Tribolium castaneum: one gene and its partners. The protein of the gene in region 3 interacts with the protein of the main gene of each other region in a biochemical or structural test. Links are inferred from orthologs where the notes say so. Each region holds a gene or a part of one and is shown on either strand. Other genes may lie near its edges.

The links.
Region 1: of the proteins of ubiquitin-conjugating enzyme E2 G1 (region 3) and Uba1, one has a biochemical effect on the other in vitro, tested with the Homo sapiens proteins (3 studies listed by BioGRID, with this or other methods). The link is inferred for Tribolium castaneum from reciprocal best matches to the Homo sapiens genes UBE2G1 and UBA1.
Region 2: the proteins of ubiquitin-conjugating enzyme E2 G1 (region 3) and E3 ubiquitin-protein ligase AMFR form a complex in vitro, tested with the Homo sapiens proteins (7 studies listed by BioGRID, with this or other methods). The link is inferred for Tribolium castaneum from reciprocal best matches to the Homo sapiens genes UBE2G1 and AMFR.

The regions. Positions count from the first base shown.
Region 1 is NC_087394.1:32,757,139-32,761,458, reverse strand, and holds the start of Uba1 (ubiquitin-like modifier-activating enzyme 1), read right to left. Parts: upstream 2,942-4,320; 5' UTR 2,590-2,941; coding exon 1,926-2,589; intron 1-1,925. UniProt on the Homo sapiens protein: Catalyzes the first step in ubiquitin conjugation to mark cellular proteins for degradation through the ubiquitin-proteasome system.
Region 2 is NC_087396.1:17,624,856-17,627,876, reverse strand, and holds the end of E3 ubiquitin-protein ligase AMFR, read right to left. Parts: intron 1,728-3,021; coding exon 1,568-1,727; 3' UTR 591-1,567; downstream 1-590. Other genes in the region: Cdk5 (cyclin-dependent-like kinase 5), read left to right, coding at 32-178. UniProt on the Homo sapiens protein: E3 ubiquitin-protein ligase that mediates the polyubiquitination of lysine and cysteine residues on target proteins, such as CD3D, CYP3A4, CFTR, INSIG1, SOAT2/ACAT2 and APOB for proteasomal degradation.
Region 3 is NC_087401.1:11,951,480-11,955,008, reverse strand, and holds ubiquitin-conjugating enzyme E2 G1, read right to left. Parts: upstream 2,309-3,529; 5' UTR 2,126-2,308; coding exon of another isoform or gene 2,116-2,125; 5' UTR 2,084-2,115; intron 2,030-2,083; 5' UTR 2,008-2,029; coding exon 1,962-2,007; intron 1,589-1,961; coding exon 1,486-1,588; intron 1,431-1,485; coding exon 1,333-1,430; intron 1,284-1,332; coding exon 1,105-1,283; intron 1,055-1,104; coding exon 977-1,054; 3' UTR 621-976; downstream 1-620. UniProt on the Homo sapiens protein: Accepts ubiquitin from the E1 complex and catalyzes its covalent attachment to other proteins. In vitro catalyzes 'Lys-48'-, as well as 'Lys-63'-linked polyubiquitination. May be involved in degradation of muscle-specific proteins.

The DNA of each region.
Region 1 (4,320 bases), on a different chromosome or scaffold from region 3:
ATTTTTTGTTATACGTATTTTGATGACATGTAATAAAAACAGAAAATTAGTGATTTGAAAGAATTTAATTTTAGAGGTCTTTGAGCAAATTTCATCTTTTTTCAATTGTAGAAAAGCTAAAAATAGTACGAATTCATTAACCCATTGTTTATAGACGTTACAACAATGATCATTAAATAGCTGCTTTTGCAATGAAATAAAACAGAAACCAATATAATCAAATAAAAACTGTATTACGAGTAAGCTGCTTCACTACTCTATTAATTTTCTTGATCATTAATAATCCAAATGTGAATAACATATCACATATCGAGAGAAAAGAAATTATACCTAATAGATAATAATAATTAATAATAGCCAAATAGTTGATTTTTGATGATAAAAGCCCACAAAGACGTTCCGCTAACATTAAAAATTAATTTAGATTTTTTTTCTGATAATTTAACTTTTAATTTTTAATATTTTTCCTGAGACACTCTTTTAAATGTTGCGCCTCTGTTCCCAATATTGGCGAATTTATTGTCAAATTTGCTACTTTGATTAATTGTTTTGAACGTAAATCATCAATTAGTGTCATTCCTGCTAACTAAATTCAAGAAAAAATGATCTGCCAAAAACTTAATCGAAAAATCTAACATTTGGAGAGCTATATCTCGTAAAAAATGGAATTACCCTGTAATTGCCTGTCAATTGACTCAAAAGGCAAATTTTACAAAAAAAAATCGAGTGTCATGTGTAATTCAGTTAACCCAGACCCAGATTTTTAATTTTTTTCATGTTAACATTGTGTTACCCACTTTATCGATAAAAATAAGATTGAACATTTAAATTGGATTTGTCCTGATACATTTGGGTCATTAAAAACAGACATAATAATTTTTCAACAGCATAAAAAAATTGACAAAATAAGACTTTTTAGATTACGATACTAAAATTTGACAAAGCTTTACTGTACTGAGAATGGGAAAAGGAAAAGTGTTTAAACCAATTTTCGAATAAAAAAATACAGAGTTTTCTTTTGGTTTCCATAAAAAATGTGGCTTCAATAATGTAATTTATGCTTTAACAACAATATCAATTTCTGAAATTTTCTTAGTTGCAATCAAAAATATTTGATCTAGTTTTCAGACGACTTACATTTAAATAAATCTTAGTATGAAATGGTGTCATTATTACTCAGAACTGTATCGAATATGAATTTAAAAAAGTTTCGTTTAAAAATAAAATAAAAAATCTCTATTTTAAGCTATTTTATTTAATAAAATAGTTGAATACTGAATGCTTGGAGATCATTTAAGTTGCATCAAGATAAAATTATAGAAGTTTTGTGATTGCAGTGCTTCTTTAGCTGATCTTACCAAGTTGTTCTATTAGGTAAGATATTGTTTGAAGTACAGGGTGAGTCAATAGTGGGTTATTTCTTGACCCGGTATTTAACTAACAAACCTAAAGATTTTTTTAATAAATATACAGCTCACCTTCAAAATATCAACCTCCTACCCTCCACACAAGTGGTAGTTTACAGGAGGAAAAAAGGGATAGTACAGCATCTATTTTTAATAAAATCACATGTTTTTTACAACATTTTCTCAACATTTACACAAAGTTTAATGCCATTCGACTGCTACTTTGGTAAGCCAATAAATGGCTTTAGGTTTTATGAATAGTCTCGAATTATGTTTAATTTATTAGGATGACAGATTTATTTGACCATACGGTATTTGAGTACTGATATAGTGCCCTTTGGGGATTTTCACTCCATACCTTCGCACATCGCAAGGAAAACAAAGGCAAACTTCTAACATCGGATTAATTTTAGCCACATGATCAGGTTGATTGCACAATAATTGCCAATATAACCCGACGTACAACGTCAAGATTAGTCATTGTGTAACAATGCCTTCCATTAGGTTCTTTGTACCCACCTTCTTTATCGGTGGAAATATCAGCGATCATCGCCGAGACCGGCGACTCCCCGTTGGTGTCAACGACCGTGAAAGCATCCCCGAAATCACAGAACACTTGGGCAAAGAGCCCCCTCGTATCGGCCACAATGAGCGCAATGTTACTGGCATGTGTGATTTCGCTGATTTGCATCTGCTCAGCGAGACAACTATTGGTCAGGACAACGACTCGGAACTTGCGGATGAAGTCCGGCGTCAGGGGGCCCGTGTAGGCCTTCGTGGGGACGTAGGTGTTGAGCTCCGCCAGCTGCTTGCAGCAGACCTCGGCCCTGTTCTTGCCCACGTCGGCTTCGGTGAAGTAGAACTGCGACGAGAGGTCGGCGACGCTGCAAACGGCTTCGTCATGCAACGTGACGGACTTGACCCCGCCGAGGATGACGTTCTTGGCCACCTCGACGCCGAGCCCGCCCAGGCCTGAGACCAGCACGTCGCTGGAGGCCATGCGCCGCATGGCGTCGTGCCCCAGGACGTAGAGCTGGCGCGAGTACAGACCCTCGTCGATGTCCTGCTGAGACGATCCGGAAGCGCCGTTGTTCGCCATGTCGGTTGAAATCGGGCACGAGTCAAGCTTCCGCTTCTTAGTTGGGGGATCGACGGAGCCTTCGGCGATTTCAGCACTAGACATCGGACACGAAAGGACACAGTTTGATTAGTTGCGGGTCAATCGAGGAATTTGCGCGCTGATAACCATATAGCAATGTCAATTGGCCGGTTTTTTCACTTGGATTTAGACACAACGCTGGCTGAAGGCGCACAACGAACGAACAAAGAGACCACGGGCCGAATGCGCATGCCGGAATGCGTGATTCACGCACTCCCACAATTCTGCAAACTTACGCGCTAAATTGGAAATTGTCGCGAAAGATTCACACTGATTGTTAAGCAGAGCAATGGGGGCACCGAAACGACCCAAGTGACTGCACACTGTTTAACATTTTAACATCTGTTTTGACAGTTACGTTAATTTTGAAAGGTTGTGGAGGAAAATTGGGGCCGTATCGTCGTAGGCCATGATTGACAATTTTTAAATTTGTTTTGTTGGTGCCATTGTACTCATTACTGGCGGTGTTTAACACATTTAAAATTAGTGCCGATGAGGAGTGCCCCAATGGTTGCGATAATAAGTCTTATAAAACACCTGAAATATGCGTTTTTTATTTTGCCTTCATTGTGTCCATAAAAAAACGATAAAATTGAAAATGTAGGGAGTTTTGTATTACCTGCATTTCGATTTGTAGCATTGACGAATTGTCATTGTCAAAATGTTTGAAAATGATATTTTTTTAAATTATTCCAATAACAAATTTCACTCTTAATAGCAGCATTTTACGGTACAAAAAGAGTGAAAATTAAAAATTATTCCAAGTATTACCGTCACGCAGCAGTTTTTACAAAATTGGAGGGCGATTTTTGTACACTTAATCATTCAACTTTGTATTTCAGTAGCTTGGAAGGTCAATACTTTCTTTACGTTTTTTTTTTTTTGTATTTTGCATCGTTAAATAATGTCACCGCACTCGCTAATAACAATTAATAATTACTTATAAATCATACCTACGTTCTGGAAAACTGCGATAAGTGATAAACATTTGTGACTAATCTGCTAGGTTTTTGATTAAATATGAGCAACATTTGCATTATTTTATGCCTGAACACGTTTTGAATGACAATAATTAGATATTTTTAAGATCACTCTCCTTTTTGAGGTATCAAGTATGACGTAAGTCAAAAATATTGTTTATTTTTGTGATGGTTTTGTGGGCCCGAAATTTGTCAATAGCATTACAATAGAAAATTAACCAATGGCTCATTTTTAGAATGTTTTTTTGTGTGAGTTGTAAACTTTAACATCTTAAATTTATCTAAATAAATATACAAAGTACTTACAGCGATTTACTCGAAAATAATTTTCCCACAAACCATACGAAAATTCCTGTAAGAAAGGACAACACCACGAAAATGATCATTTTGCTCTATATCGATGTGACAAGGTAACATAATTTACTGTTTGCACTACTTGTTAGAATTTGTTTTTCTAATGTACCTAATTAGGGCAACAATAATTAATTCTTACCAAATTCACACGAGTGGAATAATTTCCAGCGATCAACACCACTTTAAAATTAAATTAGTTCCCACTGTTTGATAAGATTTAGGATAATCATGAAATAGACTAGATGAATAAAGTGATTTATGCGTTTAATCTAATCAATTTTTTCAACACAATGGCTATTACTTTGTCAGTCGATAACAAATTTCGTTTGCATTCAAAATGATCAATTAAAATTGTGTCAAGAGAAGAATTCACATTTTCTGAAGCTATAATATCAGTGTAAGATATACTTACCTCATTTTT
Region 2 (3,021 bases), on a different chromosome or scaffold from region 3:
CTTTTAAAATTAATATCACATTAAATTTTAGGTTGTGCCTAAATTAGGGAACAGAGGTAGAGATCTTCTGCAGAGACTACTAGTTTGTAACCCCATGGGAAGGATGTCCGCAGACGACGCTATGGCGCACGCTTATTTCAGTGATTTAAATCCAGCAATTAAAAATGACCGATGCTAAATTTTTTTATTAATTTTGAAACGTCCATTCTCTAGTCATAACCAATTTTTTTATTATGTTTATTTGGAGATTATAATTCGGTGTAAACATAGCCATCTCACTTTCAATAAACGTACTGAAACTGAGGTGACTATTTTTCATTACCATTGGATTTTTTCGTGATGTAAACCATTTTTATATTGAAATAATTGTAGGAATAAACAACTCATTTGAATTACATTATTTACGAACCCTTGCGTATTTTGCGGGAAAAATTGGAGAGGTGCAGATAAAATGCGTTTTTTTAATAATTTATTACAGCAATACTAAGCACAATAACAAAGATTAGGAGATTGACAGGACACGTAAGTACGACGAAATAAGTAACTGATATACTTTGGCCCTTAGATATCTGGCACACAATATGTTTGCATGGCAATTACGTATTTCCTATATCGAAATATAACTAGACAGTTCTATGTTTAATAAAGAGAACATGCACTTTGCACTGCATAACAATATGAAATACATGTTCGACCTACGAGGATTCCCTCGGGTCTGAGCATTTTAATTATACACAAAAATTCAGGCCGGACGTTTTAACACTGTAATAAAATCGCGTGTAAGTAAACAAAACAAACATTAAAACATAGCAAAATAAAGCACGAATCTAAAACCTAACACAAAAACGTGAAAGTATCACACGGAAATACCAAGAGTCAGTCTTTTATCACAATGTACACTACAAACTTAATTAAAATTCAAGTGCAATCTGACCAAAGCCTTTAAAAATATTTCATCCAGGGCGAGGTTCACCAGATCCGATTGGTGAGACTAGCTCTAACGATGTAACACCGCTAAGTGGTGACTAAGTTTTATTAAACTTTGATTAAGGAACATTAGTTCGTTTAAAAAGACAGTTATTTACTTCATCTAAAAATAAAGAACATAAACATTCTCAAATAAAACAACAAATTGCAAATTTATCACTCGGAAAATGACTAATCGACGTCAATTCAATTTCAGACTAATAAATATCTTAAACCTACTTAATAATTTATAACATGAATTTCATACAAACTTACAAACGCCATAACAACTTAGATATTCCTAAACTGCCATTACGAAATGATTTGTCTTTAATAAATCGGTATTTAAAACACGTTCCCGTTTTATCATTTTTAGTTTAGATCCACATCCCTTGAGCCTTGCGTTCGAAAATAAAACAAATACAATTCTGCAAGATAATTCAAATTTTTACATAATGTTATCTAGACATTTATTATTAATATCTAAATATAGCGCAGTGTTTTAACTGCAGATATTTTCAATGTACACTTTAACAATTTGTTACATCTGGGACAACTTTGTCAGACGACTTCTCCCCTAAAAAATATCTTCATAAATACTTCAACTTTGTAGCTCCACTTTTGCAGCAGCGGCGGCTTTTTGTTTCTCGATGTAGCGTTTTCTGGCGCTCTGAATCAAATTCTCTTTGCGTCTGTGGAGAATCTTTTCGCGCTCCGACGAAGACTTCGAAAATCTGCTCCCCAAACTGCTCGTATCTTCACTGAAAAAGCACAATCTTCAATATTTCTATATTGGCTATGCAACCAGTAAAACACTTCTGTCAAGATTAATAATTTTGTCTCCATGCATCAAGAAGGCTATGATTTTGATATTTTTTGCGTCACAGGTGTTTCTACTTGATTTTTTACTTAAGTGTATGCCGTGTGGCTATAACGTGTAGTTACTTGTAAGAAAACTGTTAAAAACAGATTTGCAAGAATGAATAAAAAAGCGGAAAATTCTGATGGTGTAAGTAACAAATTAAGTATTGTATTCCTAGTCGAATAAGGGTTATATGGCCCCCAGTAAAATAATTAGACTCTAATAATGAGGGGCACTGGAACTGTTTGAAAACAGAGAAAACCTTAATAATAAATGCAAATTTTGAGTTGGTGGCACGGGTCTGGTAATAAACCCATTGTGAGGCGGTTAACTTCTGTACAAAAAACCCTCTATAAAACCTTAAAACAATTGGAATGCTATAAGCTTGTATCACAAAAGTTGTCAAATCTGTATTTTATTTCGTTTTAACTCTCTTCAATTAAGCAACCAAGCAAGTAAACAACAATCATTTGTCTTGATCTTTCAAAAATTTTTATATAATGTAATAAGTATAGCAAATTACTGCAAACTTGCATTAAGATTTTTATTATTAGAGGCAGTTGCCTTTTAAGGAGCATTTCTTGTTACAGTCCCCGTACACGATGTTTGAGGCAATATCTGCTCAAGACACAGAATCAGTGAAATATTTCCTTGAAGATTTAAACATAAGAAGTAAACGCAAAGGCGAAACAGTATTAACGCACGCTGTTGTTCATGGAAATTTGGAAATCATCAAACTTCTGTTGTCCAATGGTGCTGATCTTAACGCCCTTTGCTGTCATGGCGACACACCTTTGATTAAATGTATCACCAAAGGAAACTTAAAACACGCCAAATACTTGGTAGAAAATGGAGCAAACACTTGTCAAGCGGACAGAAACGGCTACACTCCCTTAGCTCACGCTGTATACAACGAAAACACGGAAATGATTGAACTCTTATTAAAAAGTCACGCTCGGTTCACCCTCCATTCAGGCCTGTTTGAAGCTATAGACAACTGTAACTTTAAAATGACAAAATTCATGCTTGAAAAAGGCGCTGATGTTAATCTTTGCGGTGAAAACGGAGAATTTCCTCTTACGCACGCTGTTAAGAAAAAACAGTCCGAAATTGTCAAGCTTTTGATAAAAAAAGGTGCTAACATTAATTGCACCGATAGGGATGGATATACACCAGTGATGAGGGCTGTCCAA
Region 3 (3,529 bases):
TTAGATCTCCCATTGAAATTATAAATTTTATTAGCGATGTTTTTTAAATGCATGAATAATTTATTTCAGCCAGTTTTGAGAGAAAATGCGACGTTGGCGTTTTTATAGTTTTGAAACAGTTAATACGCACAAATGATTAGAGATATTGTTATTTGTTTAACTTTAGTTAAAACTAAAATAAATTACATCAAAGCAGTACAAATGAATGTATTTTGCAAGCAATAAGAAAAAATATAATGTATGAATATGTAAAATTGTACTATTCATTTGTGTGTAGTTTATTTAAAGACCAATTTACAACAGGTTTAATGCAATGGAATAATTCTGAACTTTAAGTGCGATTTTTTCAGAATCCTCTCACTAGCAATATGAAATAAAGTCGATTTCATTTACAGGATTTTTTGTATTGCTGAGATTTGTGAAAATTCTGTAAATGAAGCAACTTTGGCCTAAGGTAGAGAGGACGTGGAGTCGAATCAAGTCAATTAAAAATTAATTTTGCAAGTAAATGGTGTGAAAAACTCACCGTTTCGGGCGCTGCACTATTTGAAGGCTGTTTGACGGGACGCATTCTTGCCAACTCGGGATTTTAGGTAAATGTCCAATTATTAATAACGATAGATTTATTAATAAAATTTACTTAACTTATGATTCCTACAGTGTTACAGTTGAAATTTACATAAACTAATAGCAGTTACAAGTAGTGTTTTCGACAAATGTCTTAAGTATTACAATTAAGACAACATTTGAATCTTGACGATCGCTTTTCGTTTTACAATACCACATTCACGCTGAAAACTTGAATTAGACCCACAGAAATTTGAATGATATTATTTTATTGAAAAGAAAAATCCGACTCTCTTTGAGATCGTGAAAAAAAATTAAGAAAAAAGCAACGGACTCGATTCCAGGTAATATAAAAAATGCGAATTTTTCAATTAAGAATCAAACCGTTTTGTGAAATTGGTTTAATGTACTAACATTCCTCTTGGGACTTTCGGACACATCGTGCTACTTTTCGTTTGAATTCGCCGTACATTTCCCGCCACTCTTTCTGGAATTCCCCAATTAGTCAAGTGATACACACGCTATTTTTTCTCTTACCGCAGCATCGACATTCGCAGGTGATTCATCGTTTGGGTCGGCTAACATTGAAATAACGGATATTAAAATAGTCTCTACAGTATGAACTGGCAGCCACCTTTCTGACGCTTTTTCATAACCGAACTTATCATCCCCTGGCTCGTGTAGGATTGATATACACACGTCGCCATTTTTATCGACTAAAATGACACTCAATTAATTCTGTGAGCCCCCCTGGGGGTTGCTTACTGTTAGGGTGCCATATTTCTGTCACGAATTTCATTTTGGGCGGCCTGAGTGGATATTCTTTGGGGAAATAGAGGTGGCATTTGAAGAAACCTCCTTCGCTGCAACACATTCGCGTTCCTAACCTCAAATTTTTTTAACGATTAAAAAACTTACTAAAGCGTGTCCGGAGGGCCGATTATTAGCACTTCCCATCTATAAATGTCATTATCGTCGATTAGCCCAGCAGAAAAGCCCTCGACGGGGTTTTTGTTCAATTCTGGAAACAAACCAAAACTTCATTATTAAAATAACACGACCTTAAGGTCATCGCTCGTACGAGCGACTTTCACGAATTTTTCATGAAATGAGGGATGCAAATGTCAGAGATTTTTTGACAGTTGGGGTTAGAATCGTGGGGGCCCCCCGTGTTTGAGGGGTTAGGTGCGTCGGTTGGGGTGTATTCGCCGACAGGGGGCCCCAAGTTTCGGGGGTGGGTGGCTGCATGTGGCCGGGGTCGTGTCGGGTTGAAATTTTGGGGTTATAATTGATCGTTTTGTGGATTTCGGGCCGAGTTTGGTGTCGATGGCATCGTATTTCTTTGTGCTTTGTCGGCGATGAAAGAATGAATTTAAATCGTTTTCGTGACTCACCTGCTAGCTGTTTTCTTAGTAGAAGGGCTGACTGTGGTTCTGACATTAATTACAAACTTAATTTAGAGCTAAAATTAAGAAACAAACACAGTTTTCTGGGAAAAGATGGCCGGTGTTACTACCAAATAGGACCGCATTGGATCATTTGAGTCACCTAAAAACATATGGTATGTTGGTGTTGGTTTGCGTCCGGGGTTGGATTATGGCCGACGGGTGCTAGTCTCGGGTGGAAGGGAAGAAATCTACGCCCGGTTGCGGGAAATTTGAAGTGTGCGACTTTTGAAAAGAGAGTTTTGGAGTTTACGAGAATTTTACGATTTTCGACGAATTTTGACGCATGACAAATAAAATAGGTTGCTTTAGTTTCAAAAGGGTCTGTCTATTTTGCTGACCAAATAATTATTAAACAGTAGTAGTTTTTAATTTTGAAGATAGAAGAGTTGAAGAGGCATTATTGTGAATATTCAGCTCTTGAATAATTTGAATAATAATAATAATAATAATAATTTGAATAATAAGTTATTTTTTTCTATTGTTTCTTGTTGTGTTTTTCCTTACCTTGTATTTATTACGGCTAAAGTATAAACTTGGCTAGCTTGTAAACTAGCCAAAGCATTGGTCAGTGTTACGGCTAATGTGTAAACTTGGCTAGTTTGTAAACTAACTGGTTAGTTTGTAGACTAACTGGTTAGCTTATAAACTAGCTGGTTAGTTTGTAAACTAACTGGCTAGTTTGTAAACTAACTGGTTAGTTTGTAAATTAGTTGGTTAGTTTGTAAACTAGCCAAAGCATTGGCCAGTGTTACGGCTAATGTATAAACTTGGCTAGTTTGTAAACTAGCCAAACCGTTGGCTATTTTAATAGAAAATGCAATTTTAACTAAAATAGCGGCTAGTATGTAGAGTACCTACAGTCCTCGGCTAATTTACTTGAAAGATAAAATGGAATTTTATGTTCGCATTTTATTAATTGTAAGTCCGAGTTGTCAGAAGGTTGGTAAGTTGGGTGGTTTAAAAACAAGATAAAATATCCATTGTTTTAATTAGTTTATATAACAAGATTTCATAACTTCAATTTATTCACATAAGTTAGCCCAGTGAGTTGGTTAGTTTGTCAACTAGCTAAAAAATTGTATAACTTGTGTTACCAGAAAATACGGTTTTAATAGTAACCAGAGAAAGTCTTGTAAAATTTATAAACCATTTTATCTGTCAAGTAAATTAGCCAAGGTTATTAGCTAGTTTGTAAACTAGCCGCTATTTTATTTGAAAGTGCGTTTTATGTTAAAATAGCTAATGCTTTGGCTAGTTTACAAACTTAACAGCTAGTTTACACATTAGTCGTAACATAATCATATAAATTTTTATTGAAACAAATTTTTAACAAAACTTTTTTAACAATTTTTTCACGAATCAAAGTTGAGTGTTATCAAGAGAACGTCTTGGATGATCACAGATTTAGATTTGTTGTAAAAAAGTGCCCCAAGAATGTCCTACTTCGTCTAGTTCTTTTGGCTTTCGCTTTAAAAAATAAAAACAAAAGTTACCAATTTTTGATTTTTCGAAAT